Canis lupus familiaris: one gene and its partners. The protein of the gene in region 3 binds, or shares a complex with, the protein of the main gene of each other region. Links are inferred from orthologs where the notes say so. Each region holds a gene or a part of one and is shown on either strand. Other genes may lie near its edges.

Region 1 (4,414 bases), on a different chromosome or scaffold from region 3:
AACGCCTGGCTGGCTCAGTCAATAGACCATGTGACTCTTGATCTAGGGGTTGTAAGTTCCAGCTCCAGGTTGGGTGCAGAGCTTACTTTAAAAATAAAATCTTTTAAAAACAGAAAAGGAGCAGCAGGGATATCTGAGTAGGAACTAATTTTTTAAGTGGTCAGATCATTTGTGAATATTTTCATGCCAGGATGACTCTTACTTTCTGGTCAACATTTTAACTTGGAGAACTAGGATAATACTCAGAGACACACCCAGCCACACTACAACTTCCTAACATACTATCCTCTAAACTGTGGAAGGCGCTTCACTCTCAATTCTAGTAAGGGGCTGTAATGAGAAGTGTTTTGCTGAAGTTGCATGTTTACTACTCTAACACCAAGGTCCCAGATCTCAATTCTACAAAATTTCCAAAACCAGAGTTCCTTACAGCCCGGTTCTTGGCCCTCTTCTTCTCTGTATTCTTGTTCTTTGAGTGATCTCATCCATCCCCATTCCTTAAAACAACAGCTACCTGCTCATAAGTCTCAAATACATATTTTTCAACCCAGATCTTTCCTCTGATCTCCACTTGACATCTCCCCTTATATATCCTCGTACACAGCTCATCCTTTGCAGCCAAAAATCTCATTCTCAAGTTCCCAAGTCTCCCTTTACCACTTAAAAAAAAGACGTCTGTTTTCCTCCCAAGTTTTCCCCAACTTAGTAACGGGCACTGCCTAGCTGCTCAAACCAGAAAGGTAGTCATCTCTCCTTTCTCTCACAAAGCTCCTATTTGAATTCCACCACAACATTCGATATGCCCACTCCCCTTTTCTTTAAACCGAACCAACTTCATTACCGAGCCTCTCTTAGTGTTCTACTGCAATCACCATCTAAACTATTTTCTATCAGTCTTGTCTCTCACACCATTCTCCACAAACAAGTTACTGTGTTTTTAAAAGAAATTATGTTCCTCCTGTACTCCTGCTCAATGGCTTCAGGGATCCCCAGGTGGCTCAGCAGTTTGGCACCTGCCTTCAGCCCAGGGCGTGATCCTGGAGTCCCAGGATTGAGTCTCACATCGGGCTCCCTGCATGGAGCCTGCTTCTCCCTCAGCCTGTGCCTCTGCCTCTCTGTCTCTCATGAATAAATAAATAAAATCTTTAAAAAATAAAATAAAATCTTTACCACGGCCTTCAAAGTCCTGTACCATCTGACTCCCACCGTCCCTTCCAATCTCTTAGGGCTCATTGCTTCTTGCTAAGCTGTAGCTGACTGACCTCTACGTTTTCCTTCCTCAGAGTCTTCATATTTGCTAGACACGCTTTACTCCTGATTAATTCCATGCAGGGATTCTTCTCATCTATCATATCTCAGCTTAGAAATCCAGAAAGACCCTCCCTGACCACTCTCTCTGAAGCCTCCTCCTTTAGTCTTTACCACAGACGCTGTTAATTTTTTTTCCAAGCGCTCATCATGATCTGTAATGCTTAGGTTAAAAAACAACAACAACAACAAAAACTTCTCTATCGTGTCTTTCCCAACAGAATGTAATCTCCATGAGGCCAGGAACGCAGTTGGCCTGGTTTCCAAGTCCATCATTCCCTCTCTAGGCATACTGGGGTCTGGCATAGGTTTTGCTGACTAGCACTCACTAAATTTTATAGACAGAAATAATTTTACGCCTATATGTACAAAATTAAGTAGGCATTTGATGACTGAGAACACCTTACCCAATACTTAATACAAGAAGTATCCTTTTATCCTACTTAGGATATGGCTGATGGAACCACACGGAACAGCAGCCCCAGGTTCACTCACTCACTATCCAAAAGCCACGATGAAAAAAAAAAAGCCAAACAACACACAACGAAGAGCGGAGTCCTTCTTACTTGGAGAAAGAGATGCGGGTATCTTGAATTTAAGCTCTCCTTTGTAAACGCCCCCGAAAGAGGAGTAAGGACCACAGCCGAAGCGCGGAGCAGGCTTTGGGCTCAGACAGAAAAGCCGGTCCGAGCAGGATTCCGAAAACTCTCACCTGGCTCCCCGCTCCGCCTCGGGTCCACGAAGGACCGGCAGCGCCCCCCGCAGCGCCCGCCCGCAGCCCCCTCCCGCGCCCCGACCCTGAGCCTGGAGTCTGCCCGCCGGCACCCGAAACGCAGAGCGGGGCACCACGGTTTAAAAAGAAAAAAAAAAAAAAAAAAGGAGGCAGCGCGCCCCGGTCCCCACGAGGCCGCGCCGCCCACCGTGCGGGCGGGGAGCTCCGCAGCACCAGAGCGGCGGCTGCTGCCGGCACCGAGGCTGTAGGTACCACACCGGAGGGTAGGCCGGGAAACGGCAGGCCCTTGCCGGGCACCGGGAGGGGTCTGTGGGATTTCTCTCTCACCGCCACCCCCCAGCGCTGCAGGGCGAGCGCATCCCCGCTCCGCCCGCCGGGCAGCCAGTCCCAGGCCGGCCGAGGGGGCATGGACCCGGGACCCCCGCTGCCTCCGCCTCCTTACCAGTGTGATCCATGATTCGGCTCGCGGGGCACAGTGGGAGCGGAAGTCAACCGCGCCGGAGTCGCAGGGCGCGCGTGCGCGCTCCCTTCCGGAGCCCGCGAGGCGGAAGTGCGACCGAGCTGCCTCGGCTTGGGCCTCCTCAGGTTCCCCTCTGTCGGGTGGGTGCACTACCCAACTCCGGTGAGGGCGTCTGGCATAGTTCGAGGGAGACAAAGGGGGGTACGCCAAGAGCTTCCAGGTCGAAGGTGCTAAGCCTTGACTACAGAAATGAGACCCGAGGGCACGGGGGAACGGGGAGAGCACCAGCAGCCGGTGGAACGAACTCGCGGCAGGTAAGGCGGCTGCTCGCCCCCGCGGAGCGTTGCCTTCTGGGACTTGTAGTGCGCGGCGGCCTCGGAGCCGGCCGGGCGCAACTGCGCAGACTCGGCCGTTGGGCTTGGCCCCACCCCGGCGGGCGGAGTAACGGTTTGGAATGGCCCGCAGTGCGCGCGCGCCGGCGTCCTCCGCGCGGGGCGGGGGGGGGGGGCGTGCGGGGAGCGGGGGGGGTGCGTAGCCGCGCGCGCTCCGGAAGGCGTCCTCGGCGGGAGGTTGCCCGGGGGACGGCCGCGCCGTGGGAGCGGGGAGGGCTCTCGGCGTGCGGTCTCCATCCCGCCCCGTCCTGGCGGGCCCCGCGGAGCGCACGTGGTACCGGCCCGTGCTCCCACCGAGGAGGTGTGGTAGCGGCGGAGACGCAGCAAGGCGCCCCGCGCGCCCCTCCGCGGGGTGGGGGTGGGGGCGGGGCGGGGCCGCCCGGCGGGGGAGCGGGGGAGCGCGGGGAGCGCGGGGCCCGGGGGGAGGGGCAGCGGGGCGGTACCTAGCTCCAGCTCCTGGTCGCCGGGGGTCGCGGCCGCGGCTGCCTTCATCGTCCCCGGCCAGCGCCGCGGAGTGGGTCCGGGGGCCCCTGAGCGAGGCGGCGGCGGCCTCGCCGACCGGGCTCCGGGTGTGCGCTCCCTTCTCCGACCCTTCGCACCTGGTGCTCTCGGAGGAGTGGGAAGGAGCGCACGATTAAGGAGAAAACACGAGCCTGGGAGCCCAGGGATTTGGGTTCTATTCCTGTCGTCCCTTGGTGACGACATCGTTACCTTGGGTGGTTCACGCTTTCCGTGCCAGAGTTCCTGGATCGATAGAAGAAGATGATGATGATGATTCTCCTGCCCTCCTCCCAGGAGCGTTCTCCGGCCCCGAATCCTGGAGGGAGCGCGTGCGGCGGTGCGCTGGGCCGGTAGTGCTGCAGCGACATCGGCGTGGAGTCCTCGGGAGCGGAACCTTGAGTGCTCCGCGCTCGCCGGTGGATGGAGGTTCTCCTGGGGCCTTTAAAGATTGTACTTGTTCATGAGACACAGAGAGAGAGACCTAGGCAGAGGGAGAAGCAGGCTCCCTGCAGGGGACCCCCCCACACACCCTAAGATCACGACCTGAGCCAAAGCAAAGGCAGATGCTCAACCACCCGAACCAGCCAGGTGCCCCTTCCTGGGGTCTTGAAATACACTTCCCCGCGGCATCTGAAGCTTCCTAAACAAGTTTTTCGGTACAGTTACAGCCAAGGGGAATTGTGAATCAGACTTAACCCTTGCTTTTGTTGAAAGGTAAATTTCTGTATCACTAAGTGGTTTCCAAGACGCTTTCAATTGCTGAGCTTGTTTTTTTGTTTGGGAGGTTGGAGGAGGCTTAACCGTACCTTTGCCCTTTCTCTAAATATGGTGCTAGATATGGTCGTGCATTTTTCACCCATTTGAGGTACAGAAGAAGGTAGTTTTCAGCTAGGAAGTCCTCTTTGTATTTTTTTTCTTTCTTTCTTTCTTTCTTTCTTTCTTTCTTTCTTTCTTTCTTTCTTTCTTTTTTTTTTTTTTTTTTTAAGATTTCATCATGAGAGAGACAGAGAGAGAAGCAGG
Region 2 (2,491 bases), on a different chromosome or scaffold from region 3:
ACTGTGCACTGAGCACGGAACCCGACGTAGGGCTTGATCTCACCCACCCTGAGATTGTGACCTGAATGTAGCCGATGTTTTAAAATGAACATCACTGACTATACAGATATCCCTATTACGTGAAATCATTTCACAAAAACAAACTGTACTTTTCAACTAAAACCTGACAAATACTTACATATTTTCTTCTTTTCTGAATATTTGAATATTTTATGATTTTTTACAAATCAGAAAAAAAAATTTATAGTCCTAAATTCCATGTTGATCTTGCAAAACAGTTTTTAGAGATTTTTTTAATCTCTACATCCAGTGTGGGGCTGTAACACACAACTCTGTGATCAACAGTTGCACGCTCCACCAACCGAGCTGACCTGACACCCCAAAGCATACATTTCTAAAAAACTAAGTGCACAATCAAGATTGATGCATGAACTTAAGCTTCACCACTGTGGTATGCTGAAGGATGATGAGTAAAAATTCATCAATTCAATAAAAATAAATGACATGCTAAACACAGAGATACAAATAAAAAAAACTAATGCAAGCGGTTACAATAAAAATCTTTATTTAGGTTTGGTCAGTACAGGTAAGATATACTGGAGTCACAGAGCAATATGCATTAACAGGATACAACAGTTCATAAAAACTGAGTAACTATGCACACAAATTTCTTAAACATTCAGTCACCTAAAGAGAAAATGCACGGATGTATGGTGGAAAAAACTGTATCTAACACTGAAACTACTATAGGACTCCATCAGCAAGTCCAACTTTTAGTGATAAAACTACTGTACTGGGCAAACTTGGCAGTCATAAACCCACATCTACTCTAACAAGTCTGAATGGTGCATAAGTATAATAACAGCATGAGTAAGAATGCCCTTACACAGCACAGGTTCTAGGATAGACACAGATTTATACAGACATCATTGTGTTATACTTTAAGGAAAGATTTCCATTTACAACTTCACATTAACTCATATAAAAATAACTTGACCCTACACAAAATGTCCTGTTAGCAACATTCAAGGTAATTAACTGTTACAATTTCCAAAGTGGCAGAGGTATTGAAGCAAAGAAAGAGAGGGGGGAGAAAAAGGGAAAGAAAAAAACCACACCCACAAAAAAAGGCAAATTGTGACAAAAGTATGCGTTAATTTTCTGGACAGTATCCTCTCCCAAATTAAATGACACTGTATAAAAATTTGCTGGAAAAAATATTACAAAACTGAACCCTGTACATTTACATTTGAGTCCAAGCCATTCTGAACGTGGCGGGAACCCGCAGTTCGGTTACCTTTCCCACTCACTGTTTTCTCCTCTTGAGGGTCATGATTGGAGTCTGTGTCATTTGAGTGGTGTGTGAGAGAGTTTTCACTGCCCGTGGGAGAGTCTACACTTTCATACCCCGCACTGAGTTGATTTACGTAACTACTACCTCCTCTGCCAGTTCTCTCCTCTGAGCTGTTGGAGGCCTTATTACCATTCCCTGGAGAAGAAGGAAAGTCATCTTCGGCTGTGTCCCCCTCCCTGTGAAATCCAGACCCAGACGTCCTCTGCCGGGAGGAACTGCCATTACTTGGTCCGTTGGCCAGCCGACTGCAGTCTTTACCTGTGGCCTCCGCCTGTCCTACAGGCTCAGAAGATGTAGTCCTGCTGGTACTTGGGGCTGGAGCTTGAGACTGCTGCTGTTGGTACTGAGCCAACTGCTGGCGCGTCTCTTTCAGTTGTTGCTGAAGAACTAGAATGGTGCTCTGCATACCCTCTACTTCTTCGTCAAGTTGAATGATGAAGTCATTCAGTTCTGTGCAAAGGAGAGTCAAACCTACTTTAATATTCTTATAACATTTATTTTTAAAAGATTTATAACAGACTTTATTAATGCCTATCACAAAGTCAGATAGTCAATAAATGTTTACGTGAACACAATTCTAAAAAAATATATATATATCTTAAAATTTTCCTTCAAATTTAAAAATAGCCATTTAAGAATGAGTTTGGTTCTCTTTTTTTTTGGGGGGGGGGGGGAGACATGCTTAAAATAGTTTTATAAAGCAAACAAGTTAAAACTGATTCAAATCTAGCCATATTATACAACTGATTATATCCCAAATCCAACTCCACATCTGTTTACCTGTGGGCCCACATGGCCAGTCCCCTTCCTCCTTACCCCCCTAGCTACTGTCTATCTCAGCTCCACAGCAAGTTTAGCCCTAGGGAGCAGTGGGTCCTCTAATGCTCCGAAGAGGCCTATGCTAGAACAAAAGCAAAAATCAGAAAAAATAACTCTTGAAAATTGATAAAATTCACATATCCACTTACTCCTAAAAAAGCTTGGGAAAGGAAAGTCCTTCATTACTATACAAAAATCTCCTAGTCACTATGTTTACATATAGTAAGAGCTAACAACTATCACTTTGAAAAGGTACTTTAAAAGGTATTCTAACCGATCTTTACAATTGTCAAATATATTCATTTTCAATTTAATTTC
Region 3 (4,159 bases):
CCAAATTTAAGAACTTAGTTTTGGTGGGGGTCAGGACTCTGGTTCCCCCATCAAATGAACCAAAATAACCCAGCAGAGAATTCAAACCAAGGGGTAGGATGTGGGGAAGGGTGGTGGTCGGATTTTAAAAGAACTGCTTTTGTGACACAAACGCGGAGCTGGAGCCAGGTCTGGGCTAGGCAGTGTCTCTTACTATAACTATCACCATGTGTTCCTCCTCTAGCTTGCCCAATGTCCTCAGTGCTGACTGGAGGTACTGCTGTGAAAAGTCGCAGGGCGGGAAGGCGTAGAGCATGCCTGTGCTGTCTCTGCCCTTGGACCCACCCACCGGCAGGCTGATCACCCCTGCGGCCTGCTTCTGTTTCAAGTAGGAGACCAGGTTCCTGAGAAGCCGCCTCTGTAGGCCTGGCTCCACCGTGGGCATCCCCTCAGTGCCAGGCCCGCTGGGGGTCGCCTGGGTGGCTAGGAGCACCGCATAGCCATTGGGGCTCCCCTGCTTGATGCGCCGCGTGACCTCATCGAGCTTGGGCTGGTCCAGCCGCAGACGCTGGGCAATCTTCAGCTGGGTCAGCTTGCTCCCGGAAGTGTGGTCTTTGAGGAGGCCCGTGATAACCCCTTGGTCCCCCTCTAGGATGTGCATAGATGTTGGGAAGCAGCTGTTTTTCAACACTAGGAGCCCATTCCAACCCAGCTGCAGTGTCTGGGCATACTCGGAAAGATTCTTGAGCTTTTTGGTCTCGTGTTTTGGCTCTTCCAGAGGCTTGGGTTCAGCCTCAGCGGTCCGATGATTGCGCTCGCTCTCTCGGGTCTTCTTCCCATGGGAAGAGTCTGGAGCCTCGTGGTGGTGGTGGTGGCTCCGCTCCTCAGCCCCGTGTCTGCTGTTGCTGAGGGAGTTGCTGCTCGACTCCTTGGTCCCATCACTGGAGTGATTCTCCTTACGGCTGCGCTCAGGAGTGCGGTCAGAGCCCCGGTCCACCTGTGGCCCACCACCCTTGGTCCTGCTCCTCTCCTCGTAAGGGGAGTGGGTTGTCCTCCCGCGGTCACTGGAGAGGCTCCTCCGCTTCCGCCTCTCCTCCCAGGGCTTGGGCAGGCCCCGGTCCCCATCTCCCCAGCGCTCCCCACTCCGGCTGCGCACTGAGCGGCTGTAGCCCTCCAGGCTGTTTCGGCGGTCAGAGCTTTTACTAGGGCTGGTCCAGTCCCCTTCCAAAAAGGTCCGGTCCCGGTCTGAGTACAGGAGGTGTGGGGGGGTCCTATCCCGCACCCGGAGGTCTGCATCCAGGCTTCGATGCCGGGTATATCCATCTGGGAGCAGCTCATAATGCACAGGGAGGGGTGAGGGCTGGTACTGCTGGGGATACCGGGTCTCCTCTGCTTTGGCAAAATCCACACGCAGCCTTCGGTCTGGACCACCCAAGGGAAAGCCCCTCATTTTTGCGCAGGCGGCCTGAGCTGCATCCAAGCTCTCATACTGGATGTAAGCAAAACTATCTCCCTTGACGTGATCAATGGTCCGAATGCTCCCGAAGCGGTCAAACTCCCGGGCCAGAGCGGCCAGTGAGGTGTTAGGTCCCAGGCCGCCCACCCAGAGGCGAGTGGTGGGGTTGGCCTTGCCATAGCCTATCTTAATGGGGTTTCGGCCAATCACCCGGCCCGACATGGCCACCTTGGCCCTGTGGGCCATGTCTAGATTCTGGAACTTGAGGAAGGCATACGCACCACCCTGGCCACGGGCAGGTCTCTTGATGACCACCTCCTCAATGATGCCGTACTTCTCAAAGGCCCGCCGCAACTCCACCTCGGACACGCTGTGGTCCAGGTTCCCGATGAAGAGGTTGCGCGTGGCCCGCTGGTCGTCCTCAGGCATCAGGTCCTCCTCGCACACGGCGGGGTAGCCGTATGGGCGCCCGCGGTCGTCGTACAGACCGTAGTAGTCCAGGGCCCGCTCCCGGGACAGTCCTACTGCGGCGGCGGCGGCAGCATCCAGGGCAAAGGCCGCCGCGGCGTGGCGGGCGCGGGGCTCCCGTAGCGGAGGGGCGGCCACTGGGGACAGAGAGCGCTGCTTGTACTGGTAGCCGCCGTGCAGCGGCAGGTAACCGAGCGGGTCGGCGGGCGCGGGCGGCCCTGGGGGCGGCGTGGAGGCGGCAGCACTGCTGCTGCTGCTTCGCCGGCTGCTCCCGCCGCCGCCGCCGCCGCCGCCGCCGCCGCCGCCGCCGCCGCCACGCAGGTACACCGGCTCCACCTTGAGCGGCCGGTCGTAGAGCAGCAGCTGGCGGGCCAGGGCGTGCTGGCGGGCCTCGCGTGCGTCCTGCGGGTGCCGGAAGTTCACGTAGGCCACGCGGCCCAGCTCTGGCGTGTGCGACAGGCGCAGGCTGATCTCGCCAAAGCGCTTGAACTGGTGGAAGAGTCGGTCCTCGAGGTGCTCGGCGGGCAGCGCGGGGCTCAGGCTGCTGATGAGCAGCGTCTTGTACTCGGGTGCGGCCGCCGATGAGCCGGGCCCCGCGGGCTCGGCCCCGGGCGGTGGCGGAGGTGGCGGCAGCGGAGACGCGCGAGGTGATGCACCTGAAGCGCCTGGGTCCCCGGAGGCCTTGCCACCGCGTCCCCCGCCGCCAGCGCCCGAGCCCGAGGAGCGGCCGCTGCTCGCACGGTGATTCGCGTCCCCGGCGCCGCGGCCGTCGCGATGCCCACCCCCGCCGCCCCCGCTACCGCGGGGTTTGTCGCGGGCCCGCGTTGGAACGGGATGCTTGGCGCCGCCCGAGGCCTTGTGCGCCGCCCGCCGCCCGCCCGCCTCCGCCTCCCGTTCGCGCTCCCGCGGCCGCTTGGCCGACGATGACGAGCCGCGCCCGCTCGGGCTCGAGTCTCGCTCGCTCTGCCTCTTCATGGCGCCGGCGCGGCGGGCGGGCGGGCGGCCCGCAGGCCCCTCACAGCGGCGGCGGCGGCGGCCGAGGAGGCAGCGCCCCCGGCGCCGCCATCTTGGACAAAAGGACTCGGCGCGGCGGTGGCGGCGGGGCGGGGCGGGAGCGGCGCCCAGGGGCTGGGCGTCGCGTTATCAGGCAGCGCCGGACTGTCACGTGACCCCGCGGCGGGCGGGGCGAGAGCTACGCCGGGTGTGCGTCATCGGACTGCGCCGCCCCCATCACGTGACCCCCGGGGGCGGGGCAGGGGCCGGGAGGCCGGCGGGCGATCGCGGCCCGGCATTGAGCTCTGGCGCCACCGCGCGGCCTTGGGGCCGGGCTGCGCGGAGATGGGGGCCATCGCGAGAGCGGGCCTGGTTCGCTCCTGCCGGCCCTAGGCTTCCCGCTTCCGGCGCGGGGGCCCGCGCTGCGTGGAACAGGAGTGGCAGTGCCTGTGGGCGCCGGGCTCCCGACTCTTGACCAGCGGCCTCTTTACGTAGCATCCCCCGACTGGTCCGGGGTCGACGGTGAAGAGGATCTAAGCACGCCGCTCCCTCAGCCCTGTCCAGCGCCCACGCCCCACAAAGCAGGGATCCTCCGCATTCAGGTATCACCTGCTGCGGTCCCTGGAAAGGCCGCGATGACCAAGGGCTGTCCATGCAAAAGGCGAGGCTCAGCAGGGTTGAGGCGGAGAAACCCGCGCCAGCAAACCCGCCGTTTACCGAGTGCGAATTGGCGCCACTAGGCTGCGGCCCTCCGAGCAGTGGGCTGAGGGCAGGGCCACGGAGCCAAGGGCGAAGAGAAGGCCAAACCCAGTCGTTAGCACAGCTTGCTACGCTTACCTCTTGAGGCTGACCAGTGCCCTTCTATCCACTTCGAGGGCCAGGACCTCTTCTCCAGAGGTGAGGTGCGGGGGAGGCGGAAAGAATCCTGCCTGGGTGCCCAAGCGGCCTTGGGATGGTTTTATTCCCGAGAGCTGCTGGAAGCATCGCAGAACCTGACCCTTCTGCACGGAAACCGTGGGGGCGGGGAAGAGGCTGCCAGTTCCTCCTCCTCCTCCTCCCATGACCATACATAAAGCAGCTCCTGGAGCAGCTGAGGCAAGTGCAAGGGGAAAGCTCTTAAAAGAAACATCTGTAACATTGTCTGATCTTAACTCCCCTTCCAGCAGGAATGAGTTAACCCTTTGTAGATAACCGTGGGGGTCAGCCCTAGAGTGGGAGTGGTTGGGTTGTTTTTCTGTTCCTGTGTTCAGTGTGGCCTGTAGG

Evidence for each region.
Region 1: RBM15B (region 3) and CBLL1 share a complex: the UniProt entries of both Homo sapiens proteins name them as parts of the WMM complex. The link is inferred for Canis lupus familiaris from reciprocal best matches to the Homo sapiens genes RBM15B and CBLL1.
Region 2: RBM15B (region 3) and WTAP share a complex: the UniProt entries of both Homo sapiens proteins name them as parts of the WMM complex. The link is inferred for Canis lupus familiaris from reciprocal best matches to the Homo sapiens genes RBM15B and WTAP.

The regions. Positions count from the first base shown.
Region 1 is NC_049239.1:13,103,145-13,107,558, forward strand, and holds the start of CBLL1 (E3 ubiquitin-protein ligase Hakai), read right to left. Parts: upstream 2,871-4,414; 5' UTR 2,497-2,870; coding exon 2,484-2,496; intron 2,357-2,483; exon of another isoform or gene 2,229-2,356; intron 2,039-2,228; exon of another isoform or gene 1,875-2,038; intron 1,848-1,874; exon of another isoform or gene 1,716-1,847; intron 1-1,715. UniProt on the Homo sapiens protein: E3 ubiquitin-protein ligase that mediates ubiquitination of several tyrosine-phosphorylated Src substrates, including CDH1, CTTN and DOK1. Targets CDH1 for endocytosis and degradation.
Region 2 is NC_049222.1:49,506,590-49,509,080, reverse strand, and holds the end of WTAP (pre-mRNA-splicing regulator WTAP), read right to left. Parts: intron 1,805-2,491; coding exon 1,221-1,804; 3' UTR 549-1,220; downstream 1-548. UniProt on the Homo sapiens protein: Associated component of the WMM complex, a complex that mediates N6-methyladenosine (m6A) methylation of RNAs, a modification that plays a role in the efficiency of mRNA splicing and RNA processing.
Region 3 is NC_049241.1:38,597,440-38,601,598, forward strand, and holds the start of RBM15B (putative RNA-binding protein 15B), read right to left. Parts: upstream 2,879-4,159; coding exon 176-2,878; 3' UTR 1-175. UniProt on the Homo sapiens protein: RNA-binding protein that acts as a key regulator of N6-methyladenosine (m6A) methylation of RNAs, thereby regulating different processes, such as alternative splicing of mRNAs and X chromosome inactivation mediated by Xist RNA.